Linked DNA regions of Oryctolagus cuniculus. The main gene of each other region encodes a partner of the protein of the gene in region 3 in a complex. Links are inferred from orthologs where the notes say so. Each region holds a gene or a part of one and is shown on either strand. Other genes may lie near its edges.

Region 1 (6,648 bases), on a different chromosome or scaffold from region 3:
CTACCTTCTGTGACTGGACAGCAGCATCCCAAGGGTGAAGAGGCCCTGCCTCTGCCACTTACCCGTGGATGGTCTCCTCGTGTAACAGTACCTCACTTTTGTCCTTGAACGCCCCAGTATGGTGGTTGTACAGGGCTGCTAAGCGGAAGTCCAGGTCATCCTTTGGTGTCTACAGGGAAAGTCAATCCCCCAGGGTTAACTTGGCCCCCTGTGCCTTCACTCTCATCAGGTGCTGTTGGCTCTACTCGTCCCCAAAGGAAAGTGAAGCCCCTCTGTTGGGACTGAACACCAATTTTGTTACATGCAAATTGTAACCATGACTTCTGAACTCTTGTCAGTATGGAACTGTCTCCATTACAGTCAGGTCTAAAGAGTGGTGACTCACTGGGGACATGGAAATATCCTTGATTTGGCCTTGAACTTGACCTCATTCATGCTTACATTCATGAAAAACATGGGAAAGTCTATTAAAATTATTTGCTCCTGGTAATGGAGCAAAATCCAAGCTTTCTGACCTAGAGGCCAGATAAATTAGTTTGGTTTTGGATTTGGCAGGATCTTGGGTTGGGGACAAAAGGAGAGATACAGACATAGTCAAGACAGACTTCCTTTCAAAAAGAATACTAATGAGTCCTAAAGTGGGTGTCAAGAGAAAAGTATTTCAGTGCTAGGTACCTTGGGGTCAAAAAAATAGGCATCACGCCTCATGGAGGTAATTGTGGGAGTGGAGTTGAGCCGACTCCAGGGTTCTTGTTGCTGAGCCAGATGAGTTGGATTCTTGTATGGCAGTTTCTGCAAAAGAGAAACCCCCTTCAGGACCCGGTCACAGGGGACCTGGCTGATGCGGTAGCCTCAGTGACATCATTTCGTTATTCCATTCTGTTTCAATCGACTCGCAGAGGAAAGTCTGTGAAGAGAATGATGTGAGGCAGGATCTCCCAGGCTTTTGATCGTCTTACGTTTTCTTAGAACTGATAGAAGGGGTTGGTGTTGTGGTATAGTGGGTTAAGTTGCCGCCTGCCACACCAACACTGCCATCCCATGTGAGTGCTGGTTTGAGTCCCCACTGCTCTGCTTCTGATCCAGCTCTTTGCTAATGCACCTGGGAAAGCAGCAGAAGATGGCCTAAGTGCTTGGGCCCTTTCCACCCACATGGGAGACACGGATAGCCTGGCCCAAAGATAGAAGATATTCTCTCTCTCTCTCTCTCTTTCTCTGCCTCTCTGTAACTCCAACTTTCAAATACATAAATAAATATTAAATAAAAAGAGACATGGTCCAGGAATACAGGGAAAGGAGTGGAGTGGAAGAGTTGGGAGAAGGTTGGGGAGCAGATAGGAAAGCTGATGCGCTCAGGTTAAATGTCCTGAGTGTGAAGGACAAATGAGACTTCAAATGCAATTAACAGGCAGAAAAGTGGAGGCCAGGGGCCGGCGCTGTGGTGTATCAGGTGAAGCTTCTGCCTGCAGTGCTGGCATCCCATATGGGCACTGGTTCGAGTTCCAGCTGCTCCACTTCTGATCTGGCTCTCTGCTATGGCCTAGGAAAGCAGTGGAGGATGGCCCACATCCTTCAGCTTCCAGGCATGACAGGACATCTTCAACCCACTGTCATCTACTCTTAACTGTCACTTAAATGTTTCACGGGCTCTGCAAAAACAGCATCCACACAATTGATCTCAACGTATTTCTCCCCAAACCTGCATCCCTGAGGTGTCCCAATTCAGTGAGTGGGGTCAGTTAAGCCCTCAGAGGCCTAGGAGTTAATGCTGGACTAGTTTCTTGGGCCCATATCCGTCAGTCACCACATCCCATCAGGCCTCCTCTTGGCCTTGTTCTCACATCTGCATATTAATCACCAATCCCTGTGTTGCTGCTCTAGATTCATTATCCTTCCTCTTGGAGCTCGCTGCACCTGCCTTCTCACTCATCTCTTTTGTTCCACTCCCATTCTGTCCCATCTACTGCCATTTGATTCTGTCACTCACTCCAGGATGAAAATCTAGCTCACTAGTGTGCACACAGCCCACCGAGGCCACTTCTCCAGCCCTGATGTCTCCACACTTCCATTTCACACCCAGACTTCAACCCTTCAGGACTATGTGTAGTTCTCCAAAGAGACCACACACACACATACATTTTTCCTTGAATGCACCTGCTGATTCCTTTGCCTTGACTGTCTGGTTCCTACTTCCTTCTTCTAACTCACATTCCACCCCTCTCTCACCTGGCCCAGCTAACACGCTTGTCAAAACTCACCTGCTTTAGAAAGCTTTCCTTTTCCTCACTGCCCCCAGGTGCTATATTGTGCAAACACTCTTGCTGTTGTCTTTTCTATTTGACTTCTTTGAGAGTAGCAGCTATATCTACTTTAGGTATCATCAGTGTTCAGCAGACTGCCCAGAATGTAATAAATAATAAATGCTTAATAAATAAAATGATCTTTGACATTGTCAAGCTATAGTCACTGATTAAGTCAACTTATTTTGCAACACTTGGAATATTTCAAACACTTATAGCAGAAAAAAAAAAAAAAAAGATGGTTCACCCAAATCACTGATCACAGTCGCACTCAAACACATTCTGGCATTAACCAAAAGACAGAGGGCATGAAGACGTGACCTGGTGGCTTTCACAAGATTCCCTCCCACTCCGTGTCTCCTTTATCTTTGGAGGACAGTTTCCAAACGGAGGGAGTGGCTCAATGGAACCTAGCGCCTCCTATCACTCACACTAATCAATACTTTGAGCTTTATCTCCCTCTGCTCAAAAGCACCTGTGAACATTTAACCAACTTGAAGATGGGGACTAGGGCGCGGGGGCAGGCCGAAAAGAGACTTCTCTGGTCCTGGGCTCAGTGTCCTCACCAGAGTTCTTTCCATTACCATCTCCGCCAGTCGCACTATCAGAAACGGGGCGGCTTGGCCAGGTTGATGGGAGCTGCAAGAGAAACCATCGTACCTTGGAAGCCTGCTGTTTTCCCAGGTAGGAATCGTCGTTATCTGGCATAGGGTGCTGGAAAGGGTCTCGAGTGGGAGGCATGGTTAATTGCCGAGCGAGATGGAACAGGAGGCCAAGGTGGCCGGGGCACAGCCTTGCCTGCGGAGGCTCCGGGATGTCAATTGTTTGGAACACCTTGTTCCGGTTGCCAGGCGACTGCCCGCTATCTATGACTGAGCCGAATTCCCTTCGAGAAGGGCACCCCCTGGCGGTTCAACTCGGGATGCCCCTCGGGAGGAAGCAGGCAGGGATGCGGCGGGAAATGGGCGTTGCGCGCGCCAGGAAGCCCTGAACGTGCTCTTCTGAGCCCCAGTTGAAGAAACGCCAGCCTCTCACCCTCCAGGATTTCTGCAAAAGTCTGCAGTCGAGGAGAGAAGTCCTAAAAGAAAAAAATGACCCGTACGTTTCCTTTTTTCTCGCACCTAACAAAAGTCTTCCCTATATTCAAGGGAAGGAGCCAGTGAGGATGTCAAAACACGTGTAGCGTTCGGAGGTACTGCCGGCTAGGGCGAATTCTCCTTGCTTAAGCTCGGCTTAACGACACGAATCCCAGGGCTTCTCACAGAGCCGCCTGTAAGAGCACGGATGGACTTGGCGGGATGCAGGTGGTACGTACCGGGGCCACACCGGTGGGCGATGGTGTCTGTGGGCCAGAGACGGTATCTCGGGCTTTTTCCTACGGGCCCACACTCCACCTTTGCAAAATCAGAGGGGGCTCACCATAGTCCCTGTCCGGCGGATTGGCTGGGCATGGCCTGGAGAAATGTCCGGTCGCGGTTTTCGCGCGGCCCTGGGCCGGCCTCTGGGGCAGATTGCACGTCCCGGGCGCGCGCACTGTGTGGCTCCGCGCGCGCCAGCGGCGGCGGCTGCCATGGCGACCGGCAGGTGAGCGGCTGAGGCGCTCGTGGTCCCCGCCCCACCCGCGCCCAGTGAACGAGGATGCGGTTGTCAAGGCGACGTGGGTAGGAGGAGAGGAGTCGGAGGGAGGAGGAAGGATGGGCGGCCTTGGCGCCACAGGGAGGTGACTGGAGTGAGCCCGGCCCCTTGCATCCTCCCCCTGTGAACCTCCCTCTTTTTTTTTTTTCCCCTTGCCTTCTGCCAGCAGAAACAGCAGCCGCACCACCTGAGCCGCTACAGCCGCTCTCTCAGGACTACGCTATGGCTGAGCCCGGGCACCGCCGCTGTCTCTCCGCCCGGGGCAGGGGGAAGGTTGAGAGGCGCGCACTCCGGCTTCTGCGGCTGCTGCTCTGGGCTGGGACCGCCTTCCAGGTGACCCAGGGAACCGGACCGGAGCTTCACGCCTGCAAAGAGGTACTGTCCACCTGCCGACGCGACCCTGCGACCAGCCGGAGACCTTGGGGGAGCCAGTCGCGCCCAGCTCTAGAGGCCGTGGAGTTTAGGTGTCTTTGGGGCTGAGGCGTCGAGGGGAGGGAAGAGCAGCGGCCCGGCATCAGGGCCGGGACTCACGAAATAGATGATCCTCGTGGCGTGGGCTGCTGAGCCCAGCGAGAACCGGCCCAGCCCCGGGGAGAGGCGAGAGCTGGGTCTCCGGACTCGGAACTAGAGAGGAAGAAGACTGTGAGTTGTGTTCTGGTTGGGGGCGAAATCTCCTTAAAAGTGGTTAAAAAGCAAAAGATTATATAAAGAGAGGCAAACGAGAAAGAGGGAAGGGAAGGGAAGGGGAGGGGATGGGGGACAATGAGATCAGAAAGAAGTAAAGAAGGTCCAGAAAAAGTAGTGGACTGATGTCGGAACGCTTGTGCTCTCATGATGACTTCAGTCGGCGGTGTGTGAGGGTGCGAGAGCGGCTGTAGGAGCCCATTAAGTCTCTCTTTCCTCGGTTTAAACGTCCAGTTACCTTGCAGGCTACAAGTGTGGATCCCGTTTATTGCTTGATACCCCTCAGTACACTCTGTCCAGATGTTGAGGTCCCAACGATCTAATTCTCTCCCAGGCTTTACTCTCCTTCTCTGGACTTCTGCTAACATATGCACTGAGTCTTTTTCAACGTGTTTAAAAATGTTGGCAACATCATTCAGGCACTAGGTAGTGTGTGTCTTCCAACCAAATATGCCTTATGAAAATTCGTTTTGGAGAGACACAAAAAGGTATGGAGAGGAACAAAACCAAGTAGTTTTCATATCATTGAGATATCAGTATATGGTCGTGCACTGAACAACTTTTTTTAAACCATATGGCAGCAACAGCAATAATATATTTATACGAACTACGTTGAAGAAGGCAAAATAAAAGTTCTATTATCTCTGTAAGATTAAAAGCCTTCAGTTTGTCAAGAGTCAAGCACCGTGAAGATAATCCCAAGTGTCAGACTTGGCTAAAGTGTTGAGAGGTTATAATGGTTTTTATAAGCCATGTGTTAACTGGTTAGCAATGGCAACCCCATCCCATATGGAGATGTATTATTATCAATATATGCGAAGCAGTAAACTGTCTACAACATAACAGATCATGGCAAAAGGGGGGAGGGGGCCTGTAAATAAAGATCTTTCACTTCAAAGATTCCTAAATATGACATAAATTACCCCAGTCAGTGAAACTTTTGCTCAGTGTGGTTAGTCCTTACGCTGACCTGCCCTGGGCTGTCTTTGCTCTCACCCAGCCACTTTATGGCATGTTTTAAGGATGATTGGGAACAGAATAATTTTGTCCATGTGCCCGCGACACAGTGCTTTGGTAGCCTGTGGTTTAACCAGTGAAAATAATGAGTTCGTGCAAGTCCACCTCCCTAAGAATCAAACATGGGTTCTCCTGAGTGGATCTAAGACTCTCAAACAGCAACTACCACTTCTCGTTGAGATCTTTGTCCGCTATTGGAAACATAACACATTTAAGGAATTAAACCCTTCAAGGGAGGGAAGAAGATTGGTACTTGAGGACTCACATTTTGCTTTTTAGTGCTATTTCCATGACTAATATTTGCTTGACAAAAAGTCTTCCATGAACTCTGAGCTTCGAGCTGTGGGAAGCTGTGGCACTTGACATAATGAGGGTTCTAGTCCTATAGGGACGCTACCATTTCTGGATCAGGATTACAGTAACAGTCACTTCAGAAATGATTCTTTGAGGACTGGGAGGGAAAATGCACACAGCACATGCCATGGAGTTCCTAACCCCTTCCCTACTCAGCTTCTTTCCCATTAGATCCACATCCCACACCAGGTTGCAAGTGGCTGAGAGGCGGGCTTACTGGCCATGGGCGTCAGCAAGTCCTGTTGACTCTCTCCTTGAGCAAACAGTGGCCGCTGAGCACCCTGCCTCCAGAACAATAAGGAAGAGAATAAGCCCTTTATTCTAACATTCTCCATATGGCAATATGAACCGATCAAACAAGTTTGGGGGCTTCCAACTCTAAATGGTGAAAAATCAATCTGAGGTAGATTAGTCCTCCTTGGGCTTAATCTTCATATGAATTTCTTGTGCACCTATGTTGGGTGTGAGTGTCAGGATCTATGGACAACAATGCGGTTGCAGCCTTTGTGTGTGTGTGTGTGTGTGTGTGATCCCTCTGGGTGTAATCAGAAAACAGAGGTTTAGCCTGAGGCCTAAGTCAAGGTGACAGAGAACTCAGAGTTGTAGGCTACTGGACTCATGCCGGGGCTTGGTGTTCCTTTCATGGTTTTAGAATAAT
Region 2 (6,591 bases), on a different chromosome or scaffold from region 3:
CCAGCGGCAGGGGGCGGCCTGCGCCTCCCCGACAGGCGGAGCCCGGCCCCTCGCCCCTCGCTGGCGGGCGCAGCTCCTGTGGGGAGCAGGTGCCGGGGACACGGCGTCCGGCAGCGCTCGGATTTCACTCCAGAGAGGTCCTAGATTACAGAAACCTCGGGCAGGAAGTTCACCCACAGACACACGCCCAGATACAGAGACACACACAGACATACAGAGACACACACACACAGAGACATACAGAGACACACACAGACACACACCCAGGCAGACACAGACAGGCACACCAATTACAGAGACACACACACACACACAGAGACACAGAGACACACACAGGCAGAGACACACACAGACACACACCCAGGCAGACACAGACAGGCACACCCAGTTACAGAGACACACACACACACACAGAGACACAGAGACACACACAGGCAGAGACACACACACACACACCCAGGCAGACACAGACACAGGCACACCCAGATACAGAGACACACACAGACACAGACACACAGGCAGAGACACACACAGACACACACCCAGGCAGAGACACAGACAGGCACACCCAGTTACAGAGACACACACACACAGAGACACAGAGACACACCCAGGCAGAGACACAGACACAGGCACACCCAGATACAGAGACACACACAGACACAGACACACAGAGACATACAGAGACACACACACACAGAGACATACAGAGACACACACAGACTCACAGACACACACCCAGGCACACAGAGACACACACAGACATACAGAGACACACACCCAGGCAGACACAGGCACACCCAGATACAGAGACACACACAAATACACACACACAGAGAGACATACAGAGACACATACAGACACACAGACACACACACAGGCACACAGAGACACACACAGACATAGATACACACACAGGCACACCCAGATACAGAGACACACACAGACACACACACACACAGAGACACAGACTCACAGACACACACGCATGGACACATAGATACACACAACACACACAGACACAGGCTCACCCAGATACAGAGACACAGGCACACCCAGATACAGAGACACACACAAACAGACAGACACACACACAGGCACACAGAGACATACACAGAGAGACACACAGACATACAGAGACACACACACAGGCACAGGCACACCCAGATACAGAGACACACACAAATACACACCTACACACACGAACACAGAGACACACAGAAACAGAGCCACACAGACACACAGGCACACTCAGATACAGAAACATACACAAATACACACAGACACACACATAGGCACACCCACACACACGCACAGGCTCACACACAGGCACACCCACATCAGAGACACAGAGGCACACATACAGACACACACAGAGCTGCCCCGTCGTCAGCACCGTGCGTCCTGTGTGGCTGACCCTTCATCAGACTGAGGTCACAGGCGCCCCGCGGGCTCTCCCTGCCGGATCCTGTGGGCTCTGGCAAGTGCACCCCAACAGGCACCCCCGGGGGCAGAGCAGCAGAACCACCGCCAAACACAAAGCCGCCCGCGAACCCCACGCGAGGTGAGGCCAACAGCTCCACACCGGGCCCAGGAGCGCAGGGCCGGCTCGGCGAGAGCAGTCCTGGCTCTGACCCCGCACTGTGCACTTGCTCTGCGCCGGGCTGGGCGAGAGCAGACCCGGCTCCTCCCACCCCGCCCCGCGCACCTGCTCCACACCGGGCTCCTCCCACCCCGCGCTCCCGGCTCCTCCCACCCCGCACTGTGCACCTGCTCCTCACCGGGCTCCTCCCACCCCGCGCTGCGCACCTGCTCCTCACCGGGCTCCTCCCACCCCGCCCCGCGCACCTGCTCCACACCGGGCTCCTCCCACCCCGCACTGTGCACCTGCTCCTCACCGGGCTCCTCCCACCCCGCGCTCCCGGCTCCTCCCACCCCGCACTGCGCACCTGCTCCACGCCGGGCTCCTCCCACCCCGCGCTCCCGGCTCCTCCCACCCCGCGCCGCGCACCTGCTCCACACCGGGCTCCTCCCACCCCGCGCTCCCGGCTCTTCCCACCCCGCGCCGTGCACCTGCTCCACACCGGGCTCCTCCCACCCCGCGCCGCGCACCTGCTCCGTGCCTGGCTCGGCCAGAGCAGACCCGGCTCTGACCCCGCACTGTGCACCTGCTCCCCGGGAAAAGCCGCGGCTGCCTGGCGCTGGGCCCGCGCCTCCAACAGGCTCCAGAGAGTTCCCGGAGAAGCTAGGGCCTCCTCAGGCAAGCCCCACATACGGCCCCCAGATCCCACGTGTGACTGGGGCGGGGCCGCATCCCCACTACACACCAGGGGTCCTCGTGGGGGTGTGGGCGGGGCACCCAGGGAGGCAGGTCAGACTGGGGGAGGGGCTGGGCCCCGTGCCCGCCCACGCACCTGTGGGCTCCCGCCTCGGGAGGATGTGTCCCTGCACACGGGGGAGCGGGGCTCCTTTCCTGGGGTCCCAGCCCACAGCTCAGGAAGCAAAGTGGGGTTCTAGACAGACGGCGGCCTCCAGCCCACGGGCGCTCAGCTGACCGCGTGGGCCCCGCGGCAGGCGTGCGCCACTCCCTTGGGCTGGCGCCCACCTGCTCCTCCCTGCCCTGCCCTCCCGGGGGGACCCCAGGGCCCCACCCCCGACCCGCCCGGCCCCTTACAGGCATCTCGTGCACCGTGGGCGCTCTGCTCCCGTACACCTGGTTGCTGGTCCTGTACATGGAGGCCGCCTGCGCGCTCCTGGGGGTGACACACGCTCGCTGTCCGCCCGTCTTCCGCGAGGCTGACCGCCCCGGCCGGCCTCCCGCCCTCCCCCGGCAAGGACTGGGGCCGGCGCTCAGCCTCCAGGCCCCATGCCGCCAGCCCCTGGGACAGCCTGTGGCCGCTGGGACACCCACCACCACCGCCGCCGCCGGCCAGCGCGAGCTGGGGACACACACTCCAGGAGGGGCACTGGCCGGCGTCCACACGCAGGGGCTTCCGGTCACTTCTCAGTGCTGGGCCCTGCTGGGCCTCCCCCAGCGCACCATGACCCAGGGGCTGGGGAGCCGGACTGCGTGTCGGTTTTCTCTTAACGCTTTCATTTTATTCGAAAGCAGAGAGAGGGAGAGGGACAGCTTCCATCCGCTGGGTCACTCCCCAAACCCGCGCGGCCGGGCTGGGCCAGGCCACAGCCAGGAGCCAGGAGCTCCCCCTGGGGCGCGCACCCGCGGGGAGCTACATGGGCAGCGCAGGAGCCGGAGCTCGGTGTGCGCAGGGACCCTGACCTCGGGCGGGCTCCGTGCCCACCGGCCCCTGGCGCCCCCGCCCCTCACCTGTAGCCACGGAACCACCCCGGGTGGTTGAACCTCCGCGGCAGGCACTCGCTCACGCAGTAGTAGTCGCTGGTCTTCTCGGGGGCCGCGGGGGCCCGGGGCTCGGCTTCGCCCACGCACGCGGGGGGCTCCTCCTGGGACATGGCTGCTCCGCGGGAACTGGCCGGGGTCCCCGGGGCGCGTCCCGTAGCTAAGCGACGGCCGGCCACGCGCCCGTAGAGGGGCAGCGCGCACGCGCGGGGGGAGGGGTCCCGGGACTTCCTCCGCAAGGCGCCCGAGGGGTGCGCGCCCCGGCTGCGGACTGCGCGCGTCCGCGCGGCTCAGCCCCCGCCCCGGCCCGAGTCTGCGCTCCGTCCGGCACCCGCGCACTTGGCGCCGCGGCTCCTCCGGGCCTGCAGGGGGCGCTGTCGCCGCGCGCGCAGCGGCCGCTCTGCCCGCCGGGGGCAGCGCAGTCTCCGCGTCCGGCCGTCATGGCGCCCGCCGCGGCCACGCTGTCGCGCCTGCTGTGCGCGGGTGAGGGCCGGGGCTGGGGCCGGGGCCGGGGCCGGGGCGGGCCGGGGCCGGGGCCGGGGCGGGCCGGGTGGGCGGGGGGCGAGCGGCCCCGCAGTCACGCGTGCTTGCTCCCGCAGGTGCCTGGCGCCGGCCCCAGCTCTGCGCGACGGTGGCGCGCGGCCCCGTCCGGCCCGGCTGCAGGACGCTGGGCAGCGGCCCGGCCCCGGCCGTCAGCGAGTGCGAGGACCACTGCGGTAACGGCCCGGGGCGCGGGCGGGGCGGGGGCCTCGGGCACCTCCGCCCAGCGGGACCCCCACCCCGGGGCGCCCGCGGCCTCTGGGGGTCGCGGGCGGGGAGGGGCTTGGTCCGGGGGGGGGGGGCCCCAGTGACGGACCTCGGAGTCCAGGACTCGGACCTCCGGGGTGGGCCCCCGCAGCTTCCCCGCCTGCGGCCGGAGACCCCGGGGCGCGGGGTGGCGGTGCCGGAGGCGCGCGTGGGCGAGTCCGGGGTCTGCGTGCGCAGGTGTCGGTGGCCTGGCCCCGGACGTCCGCGAGCAGGTCCTCCGGGAGCCGCTCAAGCACGCCGACTTCTTCAACGTGCGGGAGCTCTTCTCCGTGAGGAGCCTGTTCGAGGCCCGCGTGCACCTGGGCCACAAAGCCGGCTGTCGGCACAGGTGGGTGGGCGCGGGGCCCCCGCTGGGCGCCGGCTGGGGGCGGGGCTCCAGGCAGGACGGTGGAGGGTGAGGGGAAGCGTGGGGCAGCCGCGAGCGGGGTGGAGGTGGGGTCCCAGCAGCCCACCGGGGAGGGGGTGGCCGGGTCGAGCCCAGGAGGCGCGGGGGAGGGGCGCGGTGGGGTTTGCTGAGCAGTGCGCAGGGAGGGGGGCGTGGACACGCCTCAGCCCCACCCCTGGACGAGCCTTGTCCAGGGCATCTGGAGATGAGCGGGGGGGACGGAAGTGGCGGCCGGGGCGGGGGGGGGGGGCAGGTGAAGCCCCCACTGGGACACGGGAGGCAGGCGCCCGAGTGGGAGACCCGGACAGGATTCGGGCTCCTGGGAGGCGTGGCCAGACCTGGAAGGCCTCGGGCGTTTAGATGAGGGGGCGGGGCCGGGCCGAGTCGGGGGCGTGCCGGGGGCGGGGCCCGCCGGGCTGAGGGGGGGGGCCAGCTGGAAGGTCTCCCGCGTTTACGAGGGGGCGGGGCCGCGCCGAGTCGGGGCGGGGCCGGGCCGAGGGGGGGCCCAGGTGGAAGGTATCCCGCGTTGATGAGGGGGCGTGGCGGGGGCGGGGCCGGGCCGAGTCGGGGCGGGGCCAGCTGGAAGGTCTCCCGCGTTTACGAGGGGGCGTGGCGGGGGCGGGGCCGGGCCGAGTCAGGGCGGGGCCAGCTGGAAGGTCTCCCGCGTTTACGAGGGGGCGTGGCGGGGCCGGGCCGAGTCGGGGGCGTGCCGGGGGCGGGGGTGGGGCGGGGCCCGCCGGCTGAGCCTCCGCCCGCCGCAGGTTCATGGAACCCTACATCTTCGGGAGCCGGCTGAACCAGGACATCATCGACCTGGAGCAGACGGCCGCGCACCTGCAGCTGGCCCTCAACTTCACGGCGCACATGGCCTACCGCGGGGGCGTCATCCTGTTCGTGAGCCGCAGCCGGCAGTTCTCGCACCTGGTGGAGAGCACGGCGCGCGCCTGCGGCGAGTACGCGCACACGCGCTACTTCAAGGGCGGCCTGCTGACCAACGCCGGCCTCCTGTTCGGCCCCGCCGTGCGCCTGCCCGACCTGCTCATCTTCCTGCACACGCTCAACAACGTGTTCGAGCCGCACGTGGCCGTGAGGGACGCGGCCAAGATGAACATCCCCACGGTGGGCGTGGTGGACACCAACTGCAACCCGTGCCTCCTCACCTACCCCGTGCCCGGCAACGACGACTCCCCGGCCGCCGTGCAGCTCTTCTGCCGCCTCTTCCGGCTCGCCGTCAGCCGCGCCAAGGAGAAGCGCCGGCAGGTCGAGGCCTTGTACCGCCTGCAGGGCGCCGCGGGCCAGGGAGCCGGGCCTGCGCCCTAGCCAGCGCCCTGAGCCTGACCCCGCCCGCTGGCCTGGCGCCCACAGACCGCCGTCCGAGCCGCCGCTCGAGCTCGGGTCTCCCGGGAGCCCAGCGGCCGGCGCTGCCGCCTCCAGGAAACCACCCGGCTTCTCTCCGTCTGAATCCCCCGCCGCACGCGGTGCGAGCCCTGGGACCCTCTGGCCGGCTCCCGGCTGCAGAGACGTGCGCGTCCCCACAGAAATAAAGCCTGGATTCGGCAGTGCGGCGTGGGGCCTCGGCTTCCGCCGCGTGCGAGTTGGTGTTTCGAGGGGTGGCCCGCGCCGTGGGTGAGGCCAGCAGTGGGTGCCGCTGCCACAGGGGGCTCACGGCGAGCCCACCGGACGGCACCTGCACGTCCAGCCGGAGCAGGCACGGAGGGGCCGCGGAGGGACAGCAGGGGCACTGGCCGGTGGGGACTCGGAGCCCTCGTTCCTAAGGATACTGGGCGTCCTCCGTCCATGAACCCGGGGACTGGTGGGTCGGCGGCCTGGCCTCGCCCGTCTGGGTGAGGCTCCCGGGGTGCCGGACGTGGCCAGCCGGGAGGGCGCGGGGAGCCGAGCCCCAGCTGGGAGCTGCTGAGCTGTGAAGGGGCCGTATGCAGGCCCCTCCCTGCGAGGAGACCCCCCCACACCTGACGGGGGAAGGTTGGGCCTGGGAAGAACCTGGAGTGACAGCGGGGGTGCAAGTGCACGTGAGGTGGGC
Region 3 (6,471 bases):
AGTCAGGGCTCGAGAAGATATCCATATGGGATTCCAGCAATGTAGGCGGTGGTTTTACCCACCATGCCACAGTGCCGCCTCATTAATGTACATTCTGGGAGGCAGCAGGTGATAGCTCATGTATGTGTGTCTCTGCCACCCATGTAAGAAACCCAGATTGAGCATCTGGTTCCTGGGTCCCATCACTCATGTGGGAGACCTGGATGAAGCTCGTCCTCCTGATTTCAGCCTTGCTGAGCCTGGGCCGTTGAGGCCATTTGGGGACCGAACCAGCAGATGGAAGATCTCTCGTCTCTCCCTCTCTCACTTTGTAACTCTGCCTTTCAAACAAATACATATTTTAAAAATTAGCAGTAAAAATAGGAAGTAAATTAGTAAGAAAAATTTTTTTTTTGCTTTCCATAGTTTGAATGCTTTTAAATCAGATAATGAAGAAACAAAAAGAACAGAGTGGTTATTTTCTCTGATCTCCCGCTTATATATTTAAGATTGTCAAATACACTATTGCTGACCTAGATCTTATTGTTACTTCTGCCCAAGAGGAGGGAGAAAGACCTTCATTTACATAAAGAACAGAATGGCTCTGAGATAGAGTTACAAAGAATCAATACCATGAACCCTCCTCTCTTGTAGTTAAGTCTCTGTAAAACACAAAAAGGACTGAAATTACTGGGGCGATGAAAATTTTCTTAATTTATTTTTTTCTACTGTAAGGAAAATAGAAATTCAAGACTATTGCTCATTCCAAAAAGAAGATTTCTATACTTACTATATACAGTCTAGCAATGTTTGATTTCCTTTGTTATTAAAATGGTTTAAGCATTTTTAATGATCTATTAATCTTTATGCTCTCTAGGCCATTTACTTTTTATCTTTGTTAAACACACTTCTGGGTTCAGAAAGTATTCAAGTCATCCTCAATCCTTCTGTCTCTTTACTGAAATATATTTTATTGGCTAAAAGGATTGCAACAAGGTGATGTTGACTACTTTTACAATGAAATATGCAAGCAGTAGATAAAATGGCTTGTGTGTTAGGCTTCATTTTTTTCTAGAGAACTTACTGCAGCAAATCTGTGCAAGCAAAGCAGAGGTGTGGCTAGCGCAGTCCCACAGCCGCCATTGTCATCCCACAACCTGCAGTGCTGCCCACGCCCTGCTCTGCCCACCAGCCCGCAGCAGTGACTGGGCTCCACAGGGCGCTGTAGTAATGCAGCCCCCGAAAATCAGTTGCTGGAAATTGAAAGGAAAAACAGAAATTTCTATTTTTGATAGTCAAACAAATCTCTTTACCTCTGAAATGTCATCCACAATGGCAAGAGGTGCACAGCCCGGAGACCTATTTTGCATAGCCCATCCTTGATGAGAATGGAGCCGTTCCGAGCAGCAAACCATTTCCTAGGGGGGAAAGCAAAGCCTTTTTTGTCCCCAAGAGGCCTCTGGGCAGCCACCAGTCTCCAGCTGAATAGCAGCGGTGTGAGGCCGGCTAAGGTTCCCACAGTTAGGAGGGTGTGGACCCCATTCTTATAAGCACTATATAAAAATGGACTGCGGTTGAACTGAGACTGCAGAGTTGCCTGCAGATGGAGGCAACAATACAAAGTGGTCCTCTTTTTGCATCCTACATCTTTCTTGTCTTCTTTTTAATTTAGTGTTTTGGTTACTCTTTTTTGTTTGTAACTTTCCCAAAAGGCGAGCAATGCAGAAATATAATTGCACACACAAGGGATACCGGTTTCTGCAGTCAATTCTTTCTCCTTGTGTTTTCCCAATTCTGTATTGGGAACGATGATTCATTTCTACATCTCACAAAATATATTACAGAGTCTTTTGGCAAATGAGTATCTCTCATCAGCTAACCCTCATGTGTCCATTAGCTCTCACCGACTGCAATGCTAGAACCTTTTGTGTTCTTTTATGCGGTATGGCTATGCCTCCCATCACCCATTTTGTTGAGCTATTTGGGTGTCTGTGCCCAAAAGAAGATATGAAAATACATTAATTGAACCTGCAGAGCCTTTTTTTTTTTTTTTTGGATGACTGTATTACCGGGTCCTTTTCTAATTAAAATAAGAGAGAAAGGGAAAGCATATTTACTCAAACCATTTTGAGTATCGCTCCCGTCTTTCCCACTTTATTTTTAAAGCAATTCGAGATGCTGGTTCGTAACCAAATGTAGCTTAGTGTACTGTCAGGGGGCGATTCTTCACGAAGATTCCATCTCAACACAAATGCTACGATTGAAACCGTACCTAGGTGATTTTAGCTGCAGGTTGAGACTGAAGCGATAGAAAATGATCTAGCCGCAGTCCTCTTTCTTCCCTTCCGCCCCTCCCGAGAGCCCCACCCCGTAATGGATGCTGGGCTGCCGGCTTTGGCTCGGTCTCTTTGTCTGAAGGATGCAGTCTATGGATACTGGGGGAAAACGGGTGGGGGAGCGATTACCTCATCCCATGTCGCCTGCACCAATCAGCACTCTTCTGCCGCGGCTTCTCCGGGCAGAGAGAGGGGTCTGGACCAACAGGAAGAGGCCCCGGCCCATCCCCATGGCGACCGGGCTGTATATAGGCGGCCGCCACCGCCCGAGCCGCAGGTTCTCTTACATCGACCGCCTAAGAGTCGCGCTGTAAGAAGCAGCAGCCTCCCTCTCGGCCTCCGCGCGCAGCAGCAACCATGGTAAGCGCCGGCCCCCCAGGCGGCCCGGGGAGCCCTTTGTAGCCTTTTTTGTCCAGGGTGGCTTTGTTTGCTTTCGGTCCCTACGCCCTGCCGCTGCCGCAGTGCGGAGCCAGGGCCCGGCCGGGACGAACAAAGGCGACGCCAGGGAGTGTTTGTCGCCGAGGACTCCCCGGGGCCGCAGCTGCCCCTCCGGCGGGGCGGGAGGGTCCGCAGCCGGGCGGGGCGTGCGCTCCGCGCTCGTGGGGCTCCCCGGGGACCTGCAGCCCGGGGGCGCTGGGTGTAGCTGGGCGCGGAGAGGAGGACGGGAACCGAGGGAAGCCTCGGGTTGGCGCAAGACCCTTGCGTTCTAGAGAGACAGCCGTCTACTAGCGGCTGGGGCCGGGGCGGCGCAGGGGCGGGGTTGTTTGTTTCTGGCTTCCCCGGTGTTGGAGCCGCCGGACCGGGTTCGCCCTCGCTCAGCCTCCGCGGTCACGGGGAAGCCTTGAATAAAAGCCTTGCATCACCGCGGAACTGAAGACTTCAAAAGGGTTTTCATTACCTGCTAAAGCTCAGATGAAAAAAAATTGTTTTCTCGAGGCCCAGAATCCCAATTCACAAGCCCTTTAAAGTCTGGTCCAGCGTGGCCACGCCCTTGAGGGCTGCGGGGCCGGGCTGTGGGGGGGCGCAGGGTCCGCCCTGGGTGCCTGCTGGGCTGCGGTCGGGAACGCCTGCCCCGCCCCCGCCCCAGGGAGCAGACAATGAAAATTGCAGCCCTAAAAGTGACAATCTCTGTGGGATGAGGAGTAAGAATTTTATGTGGTGGGTAAAGAATTTCAGAAAGAAAACACTTTTTTGTTGCTTTAAATACATATTTCACTGTCCTTTCACTGGGCTTTTGTTCTTTGCTAGCTTCTCATATAACATTTCTTCCTAACTCGCAAACTGTTGTTTCAAAAATACTAACAATTTTTCAGTTTTTTACAGTGGAGGCGATTCTGTAAAAACTTAAAGTAACACAATTGCTGCAGACAAAGAATTACATTCTGCTCTCCAGCCGTCTTTTGTTCTAGGGTGTCTTCATTAATTCATTTCGATTCAGGAGCATGGTCCCAGGCTGGGTCAGGGGAAGAACTAGCAAAACAGCACAATGAGATCATATAGGCAGTTGCTGGAAATAGAGCTTGCTCTGTTAAATAATGTAGCAGACAGTACAGGCTAGCGCCAGGCACAGCAAATAACGGCAGTGCAGCAATGCAGAGGCAGACTTTTGTCTAGCTTCTAATAACTCCTAGTATTGATGGATCCTGCAGGCAGACTGCAGAAGGGTGTGGCTTGCAGCTGCAGTACAGATGCCTCTTGGAATCCTAAGTCCTCTGCAGAAGAAACTAATCTCCAGTTAAAGGGGGAAAAAAGCAGTAAAATGAATTCCAATCCATGATTGGATTGAATTTAATTTACTTCATTTTACAAAATCTGTGCTTTGAAGCCATAAAAAAATCTTCCATTCAAGCATGGCTCTGTGAACAATGGGCTTGCACCATGTGCTAAACTGTGCCAAGGCGACATTATTATTCAGACCACACCCATCTGCAGTATTTGTAGCAGGTGCTTTTCTTTCATCGTTTCTATCATATTAGGGATAAAACTGCAAATAAATTTGAGGAAGATCTAATTACTAGAAATACTTTTAGAAATTTGCTGAAAATTCAAAATGCTAATACAAAATAATTTATATATATTTTTCTCTTTCCCTCACACAGCGTGAGTGCATCTCCATCCACGTCGGCCAGGCTGGTGTCCAGATCGGCAATGCCTGCTGGGAGCTCTACTGCCTGGAACACGGCATCCAGCCCGATGGCCAGATGCCAAGTGACAAGACCATTGGGGGAGGAGACGACTCCTTCAACACCTTCTTCAGTGAGACGGGCGCTGGCAAGCACGTGCCCAGGGCCGTGTTTGTAGACCTGGAGCCTACGGTCATTGGTGAGTTGGCCTCCGTGGCCTCAGTGAGAGCCCCGGGTGCTGGGACAGGTCTGGGACAATTCTGTGAGGGGGGAGCCACTGGCACCCCGGGGCCCTGCAGGCTGTCAGTGACAGGTGGCTGGTCTGCTTCCCTCTTCCAGATGAAGTTCGCACCGGCACCTACCGCCAGCTCTTCCACCCCGAGCAGCTCATCACAGGCAAGGAAGATGCTGCCAATAACTATGCCCGCGGGCACTACACCATTGGCAAGGAGATCATTGACCTCGTCCTGGACCGAATTCGCAAGCTGGTATGTTTCCTCTCAACAATAAAGTACATTAGTAAGTTAAGGGATGCTGTTTGGTTGAAACAGAATTGAAATTGAAAAAAGGTTTTTAAAAATTCAATTAAAACATGAACTATCTGATATCATTTTGTAAATACTGAGAATTTTTAAATGAAGAAATGTTGAGTAATTCCAAGGTCTTCGCTTTTTAAAAAGCATTTGTTAAAGTAAGATCTAAATTCTTAGAGATGTACGAAAAGTGAGACTATTTACTATGATTGTATCACAGACAACAAAGACTTAATCTTTTCTATTCCTCTCTTTTAAACAGGCTGACCAGTGCACGGGCCTGCAGGGCTTCTTGGTTTTCCACAGCTTTGGTGGGGGAACTGGTTCTGGGTTCACCTCCCTGCTGATGGAACGCCTCTCTGTCGATTACGGCAAGAAGTCCAAGCTGGAGTTCTCCATCTACCCAGCCCCCCAGGTTTCCACAGCTGTGGTGGAGCCCTACAACTCCATCCTCACCACCCACACCACCCTGGAGCACTCTGATTGTGCCTTCATGGTAGACAACGAGGCCATCTATGACATCTGTCGTAGAAACCTCGATATCGAGCGCCCCACCTACACTAACCTGAATAGGTTGATAGGTCAAATTGTATCCTCTATCACAGCTTCCCTGCGGTTTGACGGAGCCCTGAATGTTGATCTAACAGAATTCCAGACCAACCTGGTGCCCTACCCCCGCATCCACTTCCCTCTGGCCACATACGCCCCCGTCATCTCTGCTGAGAAAGCCTACCACGAGCAGCTTTCTGTAGCAGAGATCACCAATGCCTGCTTTGAGCCGGCCAACCAGATGGTGAAATGTGACCCTCGCCACGGTAAATACATGGCTTGCTGCCTGCTGTACCGTGGCGACGTGGTTCCCAAAGATGTCAATGCTGCCATTGCTACCATCAAGACCAAACGTACCATCCAGTTTGTGGATTGGTGCCCCACTGGCTTCAAGGTTGGCATTAACTACCAGCCTCCCACGGTGGTGCCTGGTGGAGACCTGGCCAAGGTGCAGCGAGCTGTGTGCATGCTGAGCAACACCACAGCCATTGCTGAGGCCTGGGCTCGCCTGGACCACAAGTTTGACCTGATGTATGCCAAGCGTGCCTTTGTTCACTGGTACGTGGGGGAGGGCATGGAGGAGGGAGAGTTTTCTGAAGCTCGTGAGGACATGGCTGCCCTGGAGAAGGATTACGAGGAGGTTGGTGTGGATTCTGTTGAAGGTGAGGGTGAGGAGGAAGGAGAGGAATACTAAAAATGTCGCAAAGGTGCTGCTTTTACAGGGAAGCTTTTTCTGTTTCAAACAGTGGAAATTTGGGGTCTGATCAGTTAATTTGTATGTAGCAGCATATGCTCTCATATACAATTACTGAGTTATGCTTTGAAACATGAATGCTTTGTCGGGGACCCAAGCGGTTCATTTCTCTGATGGGTTTTGAATAAAGTATTCCCTGTCTTAAATAAATTCAGTGTTGTGTTTTTTATTCGAGTGTCTGGAAACTTCTATATATT

The links.
Region 1: the proteins of tubulin alpha-1A chain (region 3) and CFAP276 are in contact, whole or in part, in a cryo-EM structure (PDB 7UNG), measured with the Homo sapiens proteins. The link is inferred for Oryctolagus cuniculus from reciprocal best matches to the Homo sapiens genes TUBA1A and CFAP276. Residues at the interface, in NP_001257328.1 of Homo sapiens: Lys112, Glu113, Ile115, Asp116, Leu117, Leu119, Asp120, Arg123, Lys124, Asp127, Arg156, Ser158, Val159, Asp160, Gly162, Lys163, Leu195, Glu196, His197, Ser198, Asp199, Tyr262, Pro263, Arg264, Trp346, Lys430, Asp431, Glu434, Val435, Val437; in NP_001231954.1 of Homo sapiens: Pro43, Trp44, Arg46, Leu47, Asn48, Thr50, Pro51, Thr52, Ile53, Thr54, Ser55, Arg57, Arg58, Ala60, Tyr62, Asp64, Ile67, Pro68, Lys69, Asp70, Asp71, Phe74, Arg75, Lys90, Ser91, Leu94, Leu95, Asn96, Lys98, Thr99.
Region 2: the proteins of tubulin alpha-1A chain (region 3) and PIERCE1 are in contact, whole or in part, in a cryo-EM structure (PDB 7UNG), measured with the Homo sapiens proteins. The link is inferred for Oryctolagus cuniculus from reciprocal best matches to the Homo sapiens genes TUBA1A and PIERCE1. Residues at the interface, in NP_001257328.1 of Homo sapiens: Met1, Arg2, Gln15, Asn18, Ala19, Glu22, Cys25, Leu26, Glu27, His28, Gly29, Ile30, Gln31, Pro32, Asp33, Met36, Pro37, Asp39, Lys40, Asp46, Asp47, Ser48, Asn50, Glu77, Gly81, Thr82, Tyr83, Tyr224, Thr225, Asn228; in NP_001041730.1 of Homo sapiens: Tyr28, Pro35, Gly36, Arg37, Phe38, Trp43, Phe44, Arg45, Gly46, Tyr47, Arg48, Thr58, Ser59, Asn60, Gln61, Ala62, Tyr63, Gly64, Arg66, His71, Glu72, Pro74, Phe77, Tyr78, Pro79, Asn80, Ser81, Asn82, Lys83.

The regions. Positions count from the first base shown.
Region 1 is NC_091438.1:61,319,844-61,326,491, reverse strand, and holds the start of CFAP276 (cilia- and flagella-associated protein 276), read right to left. Parts: upstream 3,888-6,648; 5' UTR 3,873-3,887; coding exon 3,720-3,872; intron 3,608-3,719; exon of another isoform or gene 3,418-3,607; intron 3,399-3,417; coding exon of another isoform or gene 3,392-3,398; exon of another isoform or gene 3,251-3,391; intron 3,095-3,250; exon of another isoform or gene 3,042-3,094; coding exon of another isoform or gene 2,961-3,041; exon of another isoform or gene 2,844-2,960; intron 793-2,843; coding exon 676-792; intron 170-675; coding exon 63-169; intron 1-62. Other genes in the region: ELAPOR1 (endosome/lysosome-associated apoptosis and autophagy regulator 1), read left to right, coding at 3,392-3,398, 4,105-4,310. UniProt on the Homo sapiens protein: Microtubule inner protein (MIP) part of the dynein-decorated doublet microtubules (DMTs) in cilia axoneme, which is required for motile cilia beating. May play an important role for the maintenance of myelin-axon integrity.
Region 2 is NC_091432.1:236,425,484-236,432,074, forward strand, and holds the start of PIERCE1 (piercer of microtubule wall 1 protein), read right to left. Parts: upstream 3,626-6,591; 5' UTR 3,472-3,625; coding exon 3,329-3,471; intron 2,754-3,328; coding exon 2,675-2,753; intron 1-2,674. Other genes in the region: MRPS2 (small ribosomal subunit protein uS2m), read left to right, coding at 3,799-3,841, 3,958-4,074, 4,343-4,493, 5,312-5,870. UniProt on the Homo sapiens protein: Microtubule inner protein involved in the attachment of outer dynein arms (ODAs) to dynein-decorated doublet microtubules (DMTs) in cilia axoneme, which is required for motile cilia beating.
Region 3 is NC_091442.1:52,627,809-52,634,279, reverse strand, and holds tubulin alpha-1A chain, read left to right. Parts: upstream 1-2,445; 5' UTR 2,446-2,672; coding exon 2,673-2,675; intron 2,676-3,213; exon of another isoform or gene 3,214-3,320; intron 3,321-4,414; coding exon 4,415-4,637; intron 4,638-4,777; coding exon 4,778-4,926; intron 4,927-5,233; coding exon 5,234-6,214; 3' UTR 6,215-6,424; downstream 6,425-6,471. UniProt on the Homo sapiens protein: Tubulin is the major constituent of microtubules, a cylinder consisting of laterally associated linear protofilaments composed of alpha- and beta-tubulin heterodimers.